3 linked regions of the Arabidopsis thaliana genome follow. The protein of the gene in region 3 interacts with the protein of the main gene of each other region in a pairwise test. Each region holds a gene or a part of one and is shown on either strand. Other genes may lie near its edges.

Evidence for each region.
Region 1: the proteins of NAP5 (region 3) and AT2G28990 interact in a protein complementation assay, tested with the Arabidopsis thaliana proteins (one large-scale study listed by BioGRID).
Region 2: the proteins of NAP5 (region 3) and PRK5 interact in a protein complementation assay, tested with the Arabidopsis thaliana proteins (one large-scale study listed by BioGRID).

What each region holds. Positions count from the first base shown.
Region 1 is NC_003071.7:12,452,575-12,456,333, reverse strand, and holds the start of AT2G28990 (Leucine-rich repeat protein kinase family protein), read right to left. Parts: upstream 1,698-3,759; 5' UTR 1,280-1,697; coding exon 1,210-1,279; intron 1,095-1,209; coding exon 557-1,094; intron 1-556.
Region 2 is NC_003070.9:18,740,338-18,744,096, reverse strand, and holds the start of PRK5 (Leucine-rich repeat protein kinase family protein), read right to left. Parts: upstream 2,071-3,759; 5' UTR 1,927-2,070; coding exon 1,218-1,926; intron 1,032-1,217; coding exon 357-1,031; intron 273-356; coding exon 1-272. UniProt on the Arabidopsis thaliana protein: Receptor-like kinase involved in the control of pollen germination and pollen tube polar growth. The extracellular domain serves as a sensor for peptides derived from GRI. May act as a downstream element for ROS-dependent cell death induced by GRI.
Region 3 is NC_003070.9:26,883,500-26,887,075, forward strand, and holds NAP5 (non-intrinsic ABC protein 5), read right to left. Parts: upstream 1,671-3,576; coding exon 1,440-1,670; intron 1,344-1,439; coding exon 1,257-1,343; intron 1,172-1,256; coding exon 515-1,171; downstream 1-514. Other genes in the region: AT1G71320 (F-box family protein), read left to right, coding at 1-319; GDPD4 (PLC-like phosphodiesterases superfamily protein), read right to left, coding at 2,057-2,225, 2,305-2,432, 2,506-2,595, 2,842-2,934, 3,036-3,116, 3,207-3,267, 3,372-3,469, 3,556-3,576.

The sequences.
Region 1 (3,759 bases), on a different chromosome or scaffold from region 3:
GTATTAGCCAAATACTAGTCTATGAAACTAAGATACCAAAAACTAAGTTAGTTGGCAACTATCCGAGTCAATCACCTTGGCTCGTTTTTTTAATAATGAATTCAATCATTCAATTTCATTTATCGTTGCTTGTTTAGTTTGATTTACAATAATGTTAGTCTTTTGTATGTTTGATTTGGTTGTTTGGTTCTTGCTTATTTTCTTTCAATTAATTAATTTAGTTTTAATTGTGAACAAAAAAAAGAAAAAAAAAATTTGTTTTCTTAGCTCATATTAGTATCTTTTATTTCTAGTTCGTTGTTCTTAGTTCTTTGTTCAATTGTTACAATGACTTGCCATATAGTTTTGGCATAATGTAGTTACGTTGGAGTCTTAAAATTTTGAACACATCATTCAACAATGATGTTTTTAACACAAGTAAAGTCAACATATCCCCTCATTCATATCTTCTCCAGAAAAAAAAAGAGAGAAAAACCTCACATTTTTTAAAAGAATAATGTTAAATTTTATTCAAAAGAAAAACGTCACATTGAATGCTTCAAATAGATTGACTTACCTTATAGATGCATCTGAATTGCTAAGATAAACCCGGAAAGACATCATCAGCGAACCAGATTGTGTAACATACGTATTATTCCTTAGTGGCCGTATTTCTATGGCTGAAATTATTGGCAAAGTTTCTCCTGTCTTAACAAGACAAATATCCAAAGAGTTTGACCTGGCTTTGTGTATGATCTCTTCTCTTGTACCTTCTTTCTCTCCATCCAAATCTATTCTTTTCCACTTATTGGGACCAAGATGGATATCGAAGTTTGGATCACGGTTAAGACCATCATAATTTCCATATACAAAGCTAACCACGATGAGATAAGTTGTGCCACGCTTGACATCAAGACTATAACAATTACGTTTTCCTTCTGGGAAGTATCTAAGAGTCAAATATTGTTTTGATAAGTTTATGTTAAGATCTTTATCGACACTATCAATTTTTCCTGTTTGGATGAAAGTGGAATCCGATGTGAATGTTAATCCGTTAAACGAATCATCGTAAGGAGATTCGTCACTAGGTAATCCACAATCTAAACTGATGAAACCTGTTCAAATATAAAAGCAATAAATGGGAAAAGTGATATTGATACATTCTTATATAACATATCACAAGTCAAAGGATTGATTTATAAACAAGAAAGAGATGGTATATATCATTACCTTCTTGATCCTGGGCTCCAATTATAACGACAAAGGTTCCAATCATGGCCAACAAAAGGTGAATCTTCATGTTCTCTCTCGATCACTATCCGGTTTCTCTAGTACTCAAGAAAAAACAAAGACTTGCTTAGGGAAAACTGCAAAAGATATGGAACTGAGAGATACCTCATGTATAAGTTGGAATGAAATATACAAAAGTCAACTCCGGGTAGAAAATTAAATAATGATCGTGGAAATAATCAATCTGGTGTTGAATAGTTGTATATGTTCAGGAGACTCGTCATGTGTAGGAATATTTCCTCCACGAATGTATGGTTTATCGCCAGATGATCTTACTTTGTCTATGTGCTTAAATTGCTTGAGTGAAGAAAAATCATTTGGTATATCTTCATTTAGTAGTCAGCCACCAAAATAACGAATGAGAAAACTTTCGAGCACAAAGATATATAAAGGTTTCTTTCGTGGATAAGTATTTCGTTTGGATCCCGTCCTATAAACTAGTTTACTAGATTGGATCGAATATATATAATTAAGTTTCAGAATTAGTATACAAAGATCATGTTTTTTGATTAAAAAGAAAAATCATGTTATTCACTGACACATTATATTTTGTTGATTTTTTCAGCGGCAAACTAATCATAGACCAATCAATCAAAGGTAAAAAATTAGGGCTGACGTGGCAGGGCGATTTTGAAGGCGATTTAGGGTTTCACTACCGTGTGTCCCAATCTGGCAGATCTGGCGGCTTTTCCGCCGTCTTCCCCCATCATGTCGACGGCGATGGTGGTGGAGAGCACATCGAAAAGTTCAGAAGCTTCCCCAGAAACGACCAAACCATCATACTCATCAATTGTTCAGAATAGACCAACCCTTTCGAAGCATGAATTCAACGTAACAATGGTCAACGGTGATTCGATTGTCCAAGTCCCAAATGAAATCTTTGAAGATTCAACACCATTGTGGGATGATTTGCTCATAGGGCGGTTTCCACAAATATCTCCGCATATTGCAAAAGTTCACGTTATTGTGAACAAGATCTGGCCACTTGGAGACAAGACGGTAAAGATTGACGCATATGTGGTAGACACTAAAACAATCAAATTCCGAATCAGAGAGAGTTCAGTCCGAGCTAGGGTTCTTCGCAGAGGAATGTGGAACATAGCTGACATGCCTATGATCGTTTCTAAATGGTCCCCGGTTGCTGAGGATGCTCAGCCAGAAATTAAAACAATGCCAATGTGGATCACCATTAAAAATGTTCCACGCTCAATGTTTACTTGGAAGGGTCTGAGTTTTCTTGCAAGTCCTATTGGGGAACCAAAAAAGCTTCACCCTGACACAGTTCTGTGCAACAGTTTTGAGGAAGCTAAGGTATTTGTAGAAGCAGATTTAACACAGGAAATGCCAAAACAATTCCGCTTTAAATCTGAAACTGGCGTTGATGCAATGGTCGAATATAAGTATCCTTGGTTGCCGCCGAGATGCTCTTCATGCTCTAAGTGGGGACATATACAAGAGGTTTGTCTAACGCGTCCATCACCCAATCAGCTATCCACACCAACGGAGATAGAAACAGAGGATAAAACAGAGCCTCCTCTCATGAAAGAAAAACCTCTCGAAATACTATCGAAATCTCCTTCGGCTACTTTGACAAAAACGCTAAACGGTGATTCTCACACTCAGAAAGTTCCAATGAAGAATCCGACTGTTTTACAGAATAAGGGAAAGGAAGTTGCAGAGGAAAACGAGGAAAATTTGAAGGACGAAGGTCCCTGGCACACGGTATCGCCTGCTAAGGTAGGCAGGCAGAGGAGTCCTCAACCTCAAGAAGTAGTTAATCATGCGTCTCCTTCTCGTTTTGATGTCCTAGCAGTGGAGGAGGACACGGCTGACACAAACGGTCATGAGGAAGGAGAAATTGTTGTTCTCTCCCAACAATTAAATGATAATTCAGATTCAGTTGGTGTTCAAGGGACTCGTCCGTACATCCCACGAATCTCAAAGTCTCAGCATAAGGTGGTCAAAAGCTCTGCGAATCAAAACACGAAGGGTAACCCTAGTGTTTCAGGTCATAGGGCTCATAAAAAGAAATAATTTTTATGTCGGGTTTCTTTTGGAATGTCCGTGGTCTAAATAAATCTTCTAAACATTCCATTATCAAAAGTTGGGTGAATCACAGTTCTATGCAATTTGGTTGTCTTCTGGAGACGAGAGTCAAGGAGGGCAGATCAGCTGAACTACTTTCGTCTATTTTTAGTGGTTGGTCGTCTATAACTAATTATGAATCACATCGGTTAGGCCGCATTTGGGTTGTTTGGAGGGACAATGCTCGACTAACTCCGGTATTTAAGAGTAGTCAAATGATAACATGTTCGATTCTGTTGGAAGGTAAAGAAGAAGAATTCTTTTGTTCTTTTATTTATGCTTCAAATTTTGTGGAGGAGAGACGTATTTTGTGGGAAGATATTCGCTCTCATCACGACTCGCCGTTGATTCGTAACAAACCATGGATTCTCTGTGGTGATTTCAATGAAATTCTTGAAGGTGGAG
Region 2 (3,759 bases), 8.1 Mb from region 3:
CTTCGTTATGATTTGTCCTTTCGAAGGTCTATACTCTGGCGATTTGTAAGCTGTCATGAAGTTATGTGCGTGCTCTGAGCTCATCATAGGTCTTAGAGCGTAATCTGTTAACAATGGCTCGAATGAATCGTCTAAAACAATATTCGATGACTTCATATGACCATGAGGGATTGTTAGTGTTGGAAGCTCGTCAAACAAGTAAGATAAACCCTTTGCTACTCCTTTTATGATCTTTAAACGTGTTATCCAATCCAATCCAGCGGAATTATTCGCTGCGAACGTATAATTCAAATAGTTAGTATTCACAAAAAGTTTTATAAAATGTCAAATTATTAACAATTCTTATTCAAACATACCATGAAGATGGCTTGCCAAGCTACTGTTGGGCATAAATTCAGTGACTAGAAGCTTCTCCTCTCTACGGTAATAGTAAGCAACGAGAGGCAATATATTTGGATGGTTTAATCTCCCTAACCGTCTCATATGCTCATGAAACTCATCTCTTCCGACATTGTTCATATGTTTATACCTCTTCACAACCAATGTTTGTCCACTAGATATCGCTGCTTTGTATGAAGCACCAAATGTTCCGCTACCAAGAACTTCAGCTGAAGCTCTCAAAAGATCTTGAAGATCGAATCTTTGAATATCGTCCCTCACGAATAGAAGCCTTCCTCCTGGATCAGGCATCGATCCTCTCCTTGTGTGATTTACGGATTCTGCGGGTTTATTGTTCTTGTTTGTGGATTGATGATAATTATAGCTCTCTATCCTTTCTTTTCCCGCAGAAGAAGGATAAGCTGACAAGAAATTACGTCTTCTTGATTGAACGAAACAGAACACAAGCGCGATGATCACTAGTATTATGCCAATAACAATCAAAATGATTGCTAGAGTGTAAAAAGATCCGGCCTTTTTCCCCGTGGGAGGAGAAGTAGATTTTGGATCAACGGGAGATACCGGAACAACAGGAACCCCCGGAGAGGAAGAGGAACATGGACTTAAGGGAGCATCACACAAACCTTTGTTACCTACAATTTACAAAACATAGAATATTCATGTCATCAAAAATGCATCAAACTCTTGAAAGGTTTATGCAAAATTTATATGAAAATAATGAATTCTCTAGTTGCACACCTAAAAAGGATGTCATGTTGACATTTGATTCTAAAAGCATTATATGACAATATTAATATGTAGAACATTTTTATTGTTACCTGCAAAAGAGCCTGGATCCATGTTTCGAAGACTTTCAGGTATCGGTCCATCGAGATCATTGTTTTCAAAGCTAGCTAATTTAAGATCCTTCTGTTGAAAAGATGGTATTTGCCCTTGAAATTGATTACCATTTAGCCTCAACTCTAAAAGCATTGGCAAAGAGGCTAGAGAAGAAGGAATTGTTCCTCGGAATGCGTTATTAGCCAGCAAAATTTTCTTCAAAAGTGGCATACCTAGAAATGCATCTGCGGGTATCTCCCCCGAAAACCGGTTATTAGACAAATACAAAGATTTCAGCGAAGTAAACCTCTTAACTTGAGGCATTGGGCCATTGAAGTTATTGTTCATGAAGCTTATGGTTCGCAGATTCTTCATTGGAACCAATGGGTCGAGGTTTAGTTTCCCGGTCAAACCCATTCCCTCAAGTTGTAATCCCCAAACGTAATTGCTACAAAGAACACCAAACCAATTTGCTGTATTTCCTTGACATGGTGATGATAATGGATCCCAACTACGAAATTCTGAACCATTTGCTAATGTATCTTTGAATCGCAAGAGACAATCTGCATCTGAATCCGGCACAACCACCTGAGACATTGCCACCGGACATAACACGCTGATAAAGATGATGATGAAAATGCAAGAAGGTAGATTCTTCTTCAAGGCCGTGTTACACGCAAGCGTAAACGGGTCCTCCCAATTGCGCATTGCGGTTACACGCGCAATGGAATCGATTTGATTGATGTGAAATCTCTTGTTTTCTTCTTTTTCTTTTTTGTCTTTCGTGATCGCCAAGAAATTGTGTGAACGGAAGAGAGAAAAACAAAACCTACCAAGAATAGACAAAGCAAAGTATTTAAATTTGCAAAATTGTGATTATTTTTTTTTGGATTTGTGGCATCTTAAGATTATTATTAGGTGAGAGAGTTCTTTGGATAACCATTCAATTATCTTGTTTTAACTTTTTAAGTTATATATACATGTAATCGTTGTTGTACTGATTTGTCATTTGCTTTAGTTCCAACCAAATTTATTTTTCTCTCTATATGAGAATTATTTTGGTATAACTGATTTTAAGAATCAGGCATAACTGGTGGATTGTTCTATATGATGATGATAATATCTGAACCAATTAAACAAGTAATGTGATATAACTCGGTAGAGTTTTAGAGATTTCTGTTTTATCACCAGTTACCCGTTAAAAACAAACAAACAACATGTTTTATAAATTAATCGACAAATATGGTCAGTCAAACTAGGAGTAAAACTTAGTAGTCTCTTAATTTTCTTTTCAAAATTCTAGTAATGAAATTATAAAGGATGACTTTGTTATTCCTAAATTATGTGACTGCGCACGATTAAGAGTTGTTATTTTCGGACAGTGTTACTCGAGGAAAGACATAAAAAAGACAAAAGACATAAACAATGATAAAATTAAACTTTATGGGGAGAAAATCAAATGTAAAAAAATGAAGAAAAAGAAAATGGAAGGTCAAAAAGTTGAATGCTGAAATTGTTCTTCTGAAAGAACGCGGAATTGGGTTAAAGAGCTTTAAAGTGTTGGTGGGCCGACACGATTGGTCGGCATGAAATCTTAAGGTGTGAACCTTTCAAGTACACATTTCTGCTGCTTATGCAGTGTCCATACTCCAATTTCGGTTCGTACTGGAAAACATACTAAAGTGGATGTATATTTGATAACAGTTTTTGTTTTTGTTTTTGAATACTAGTATTATATAAAAGAGATTTTTCCTAGTCTACTAATGTTTCAATCCAATCCATTGTAGTTATCAAACTAGTTATTTATGGGTATTCAAAGCTGATAATATGGTACTGCGGGGTAGTAGTATAATACTAAATAATTACTTACGAAATTAATAATGAAATGAGTAATTATAGAATGAATGCATATAATTAAGTGTTTTTTTTTCACAAAAGAAAGACGCCTGAATTTAATAATAAAGTGTATTAAATATTAATTCACATTTGTCGTAAATACGTGGATTGTAAAAGTGTATCAATCGTATGTATGTACCACTGGTTAAACAAATGTATGATGCATCAATAGTCAAACTAAAAAACTCGCTGATCTTTGAACACGAAGTTGAAAAAAAAGTCGAAAAAATCTCACTGATGTATGTAAAAAGAAAATATGTTGGTAAATAAAAGAAAAAATGGGAGGATAAAAAGGCAGGGAATAATCACAAACTTTTAGGCCTAAAAATGATAAGTGTTGGACCAACCCATGGCTTGCACGTTTGGTCTCATCTCGTTACTTTTGTTTTCGATCTCATCGATGTCTGCGTCTGTGCGGACCATTTTACCCTTGCCTTTTATTACTTCACTAAAAGATGAACACACGAATTATTTAGACATGCGGCACACAATTTTATTACGGTTAAGTTTACAGTTTTAAGGCGAAAATATATCGTTATGCTTTATGCTACATTAATTATGTATAGTAGTACTCCCTACCCAAAACAAAGTTACGTATAGTACTTTGATTGGCCATCGAGGACTCAAGGTTTACTAAATAGAAAG
Region 3 (3,576 bases):
GTGTGACACCAAATATGCTACTAATATAGAAATGTGGAATCTGAATGAACGTTTGTGCCTATCGGATGTGCTAGAAAGTTCAAATTTGGTCGTTTGGAGTTTACACCAAGAATATCCTACCGAAAAATGGGAGAAAATATATTCTATTAAGATTGACGTTATAAGAACCAACCAATTACATGAAAAGTTTTGGATGCTTGGTCTAGCGGCTGCCTATTTTTCAAATATCAGAAATCGTCAAGATCAAGTTTCTTTTTTTAGACAAAGAACGATTTCGTATTTGCCAACAATGATTTCTCCTTCAAATTTGATGCTTTGATGTTGTTAATTATACTTTCAATTTTTAACAATATTATATGTAAGTTAAAAAGAATATTTTTAAAAAAAAGATGTTTAGATATTTATTTATTTTAAGTATATTGTAATTTCTTTATTTGACATTATGGATTATTTTTATGTTTTATTTTCTCTTGTTTTCTTTCTTTCTGTCAATATAATACATATTTGGATATAGTTATGATGAATATATACAAGTTTTTGAACAAGTTTTTGCAATTTTAAAAGACATTGGAGAACGGAAAATGCAGTGATGCATTTTATGAAACAGTTCAGTAGCAGTCTTGTAACCAGCCGTGACAAGAAGCGTGGCTCTAACAAGAATGCAGAGGGAACTTCCAAATGCCAAAGCAACATACACAACCATTAACGTAGAAAGTTTCACAGGAGCTTGCACATCCTCAGAAATAGGAGTAGCCCAAGCCATCCAGTAGTTACTTCCAATCTGTAGAAGCTGAAAGAGAATTTGCCCCAACAATATGAAAGGCACAAGAGCTCCTCCGTATGCCAGTGTGATATATTTCCAGTATACATCCAAAGCGACGCTACCTTTCGCCCTCTCTTCCTCTTGAACAAATTGTCTTTGGGGCTCCCCAGAATCTAATTTATCGTTCTTCAGATCTTGACTTTCTTGTTTCCCGTCGAAACCAATATCATCTCTCACAACACCATTTTCTTCGTCTAAAGCTGAGTTTTCAGAAACAGAACTGGCATCAGCCGACCCAACTACTGCCAGAGACTCTTGATGCGCACCTATAAGCTCCCTGAAATCTGTTCCAGAGATGAGGATATCATTATATTTTCCAGCTTGGCTGATTCTCCCATCTTTCATGACCTGAGGCATAAGAAAATCGGTTATGGATGATTTCATATTCTCAGTGCTGTAGAAAATGATAAAAGACAGTGAACTATTCACATACCAGTGTAAGATCAGCAGAAGGTAAGAACTCAACTTGATGGGTTACATATATAACCGATTTAGAACATAAAAGCCCTCGTAGAGCTTCCTGAAAAAAGTATGAGAATGAAAATAAATTTGATACATGATTGTTTACGGAAGGAGAAATCACAATCACACTAATGGCTAAGTAAGAAGATTGTACCTTAAAGAGATGTGACCCTGTGTGTGCATCGACAGCACTAAAAGGATCATCAAACAGATAGATGTCCGCATCTTGGTAGAGAGCGCGTGCAATATGTATTCTTTGCTTTTGTCCACCACTCAAATTGATGCCGCGTTCTCCAATGACGGTCTGATCACCGAATGAAAGTATCTCCAGATCTTTACTCAAAGAACATGCTTCAATCACCTTATCATATCGTTCTCTATCCATATTATATAAACAGACTTAATATCAGTCATCTGATTATTTAAACTTAAATACAAGTGTATTAGACCTTGTTCTAGGAGCAGGCTCATATCGTTATGTATAAAAGAAGATATCTGTGTGAGATTGTTTTCACTGTGCAGTCCGAAAAGTGTTGCCTCAGAGTCTCCTGGATCAGATTATCAGTAGCTGTATCGATAGAAGCAATGGCTTCATCAAGAACCGGCCATACTTTGCTTTTCTTGAGAAAGACTCGTCTTACTGTGTATCAAGGCGTCGTAGTGTGTAGTTGTCAAAAACTTGTGGATCAGCAAAACAACATAAAGAAAGATCTTTGCCAAAAACTTCTGAGTTGGTATTACAGTCATTAAGAATGCTCGAAAAAGAAATTCTCACGTCCGTATTGAAAAACCTTCTTCAAGACACTCAGTTCTAAGATCTTCCATGAGACCCTGAAACATAGATGGATCGCTCGTCACAACAGCATCCACACCTAAGTGAAGCATCCTTTTCATGGGATCAGCATCATCCACAGTCCATGCATACACCTCTTTGTTTCTCCTGTTGATCAGATCGAGCAAGGTTGTAAACACATGAGCAGGTGTGTTTTTATTTGAAAACATTGAAATCGATTGCTTACCGACGGACAACTCTAACTAATTCTTCATCGATCAAGGGATGATAAACTCCCACAACCCTAGCTCCCTTCATTCTCAGCAGGCTGTTTCTCGCCCCAGTCAAAGGATCTACCATCACAATGTATCCCACCTGCCAAAATCACTAGGAAATGAGCAAGAAACTTCTCTATCTGATCCTCACAAGACAATCCATTTCTGTTTACCATAGTATCTGGTGCTCGTCTAATTATGTCCCTAGCCAAAGTGTCGCTTTTGGCCCATACGATGCAATTATTGCACTGCGCTCTCTCAATCTAACAACAGAGGATTGGCGATTCATGTGAGCAAAGCCAGAAATACCACCATTGAAACATCAACAATTTATCCATACTCTTGTTTTTTCAAGTATCTATAGTAAGCTGTTCTAGCTTTGTGTACAAAGATACCAGGAAATAAATGATTAAGCAACGCTATTAAGGAATCAAAACATGTTTATAAATCTCGAGCACATTGTACTAAAGCTTTACAAGTACAAGAGCTAACAAAAACATAGTACTTACAATAGAAAGGATGTCTTGTGCTAACCCCTTTTCATACATTGGCGGTCCAACTTTGGCATCAAGGATCACTTTCCGGACTGAATTCGATATCAACTAGATGATTCAAGATCAAAACTAGCTTCAGCCACTTGTTACTAAGCAGAAATTACAAAGCAAAGCAATGACAAGATAGTAATTAAAAAAACAGGCATTACCGCTAAAGCCTCTTCAAGAGTAGGAATCCTACTACTTCCCAAGGTTCCTTTAACAATCTCCGAGACATCGAGTTCCTTGATCTGCAAAAAGATCATCAAAAGGTTTATGAAAAATGGATGCAAAAAAGCATATCCCAAAAGCTGGTAAAGAGAGAGAGGGAGAGATGAGACCTGTTTCATACTCAGATCTCCAACTTGAACAGAAGAGTTACGAGCAATACGCTGCAGATCCCTGACTGTGCGTGTGATCAGAAGATGAATAAGAAGAACACCGATGAGAATCCAAACACAGAAACATTAGAAGAAGATGATACAACAAGGATCAGAGTCTGTAACCTGTTGTGAAGAGCGAATAAAACACCATCGGAGGAACGAGAAACATCGACTTCAATGCAATCAACTCGAGAACGTATAGCGAAACTGTAAGCGTCCATCTACGATTGAGAAGAGTCCAAGAGATTAAGGTTTAAAAAGGTTAGTAGCAAGAGTGTGAAGAAGAAGAGATCGAGAGTGTACGTACAGTGTTTGGGAAAGCGAGGGT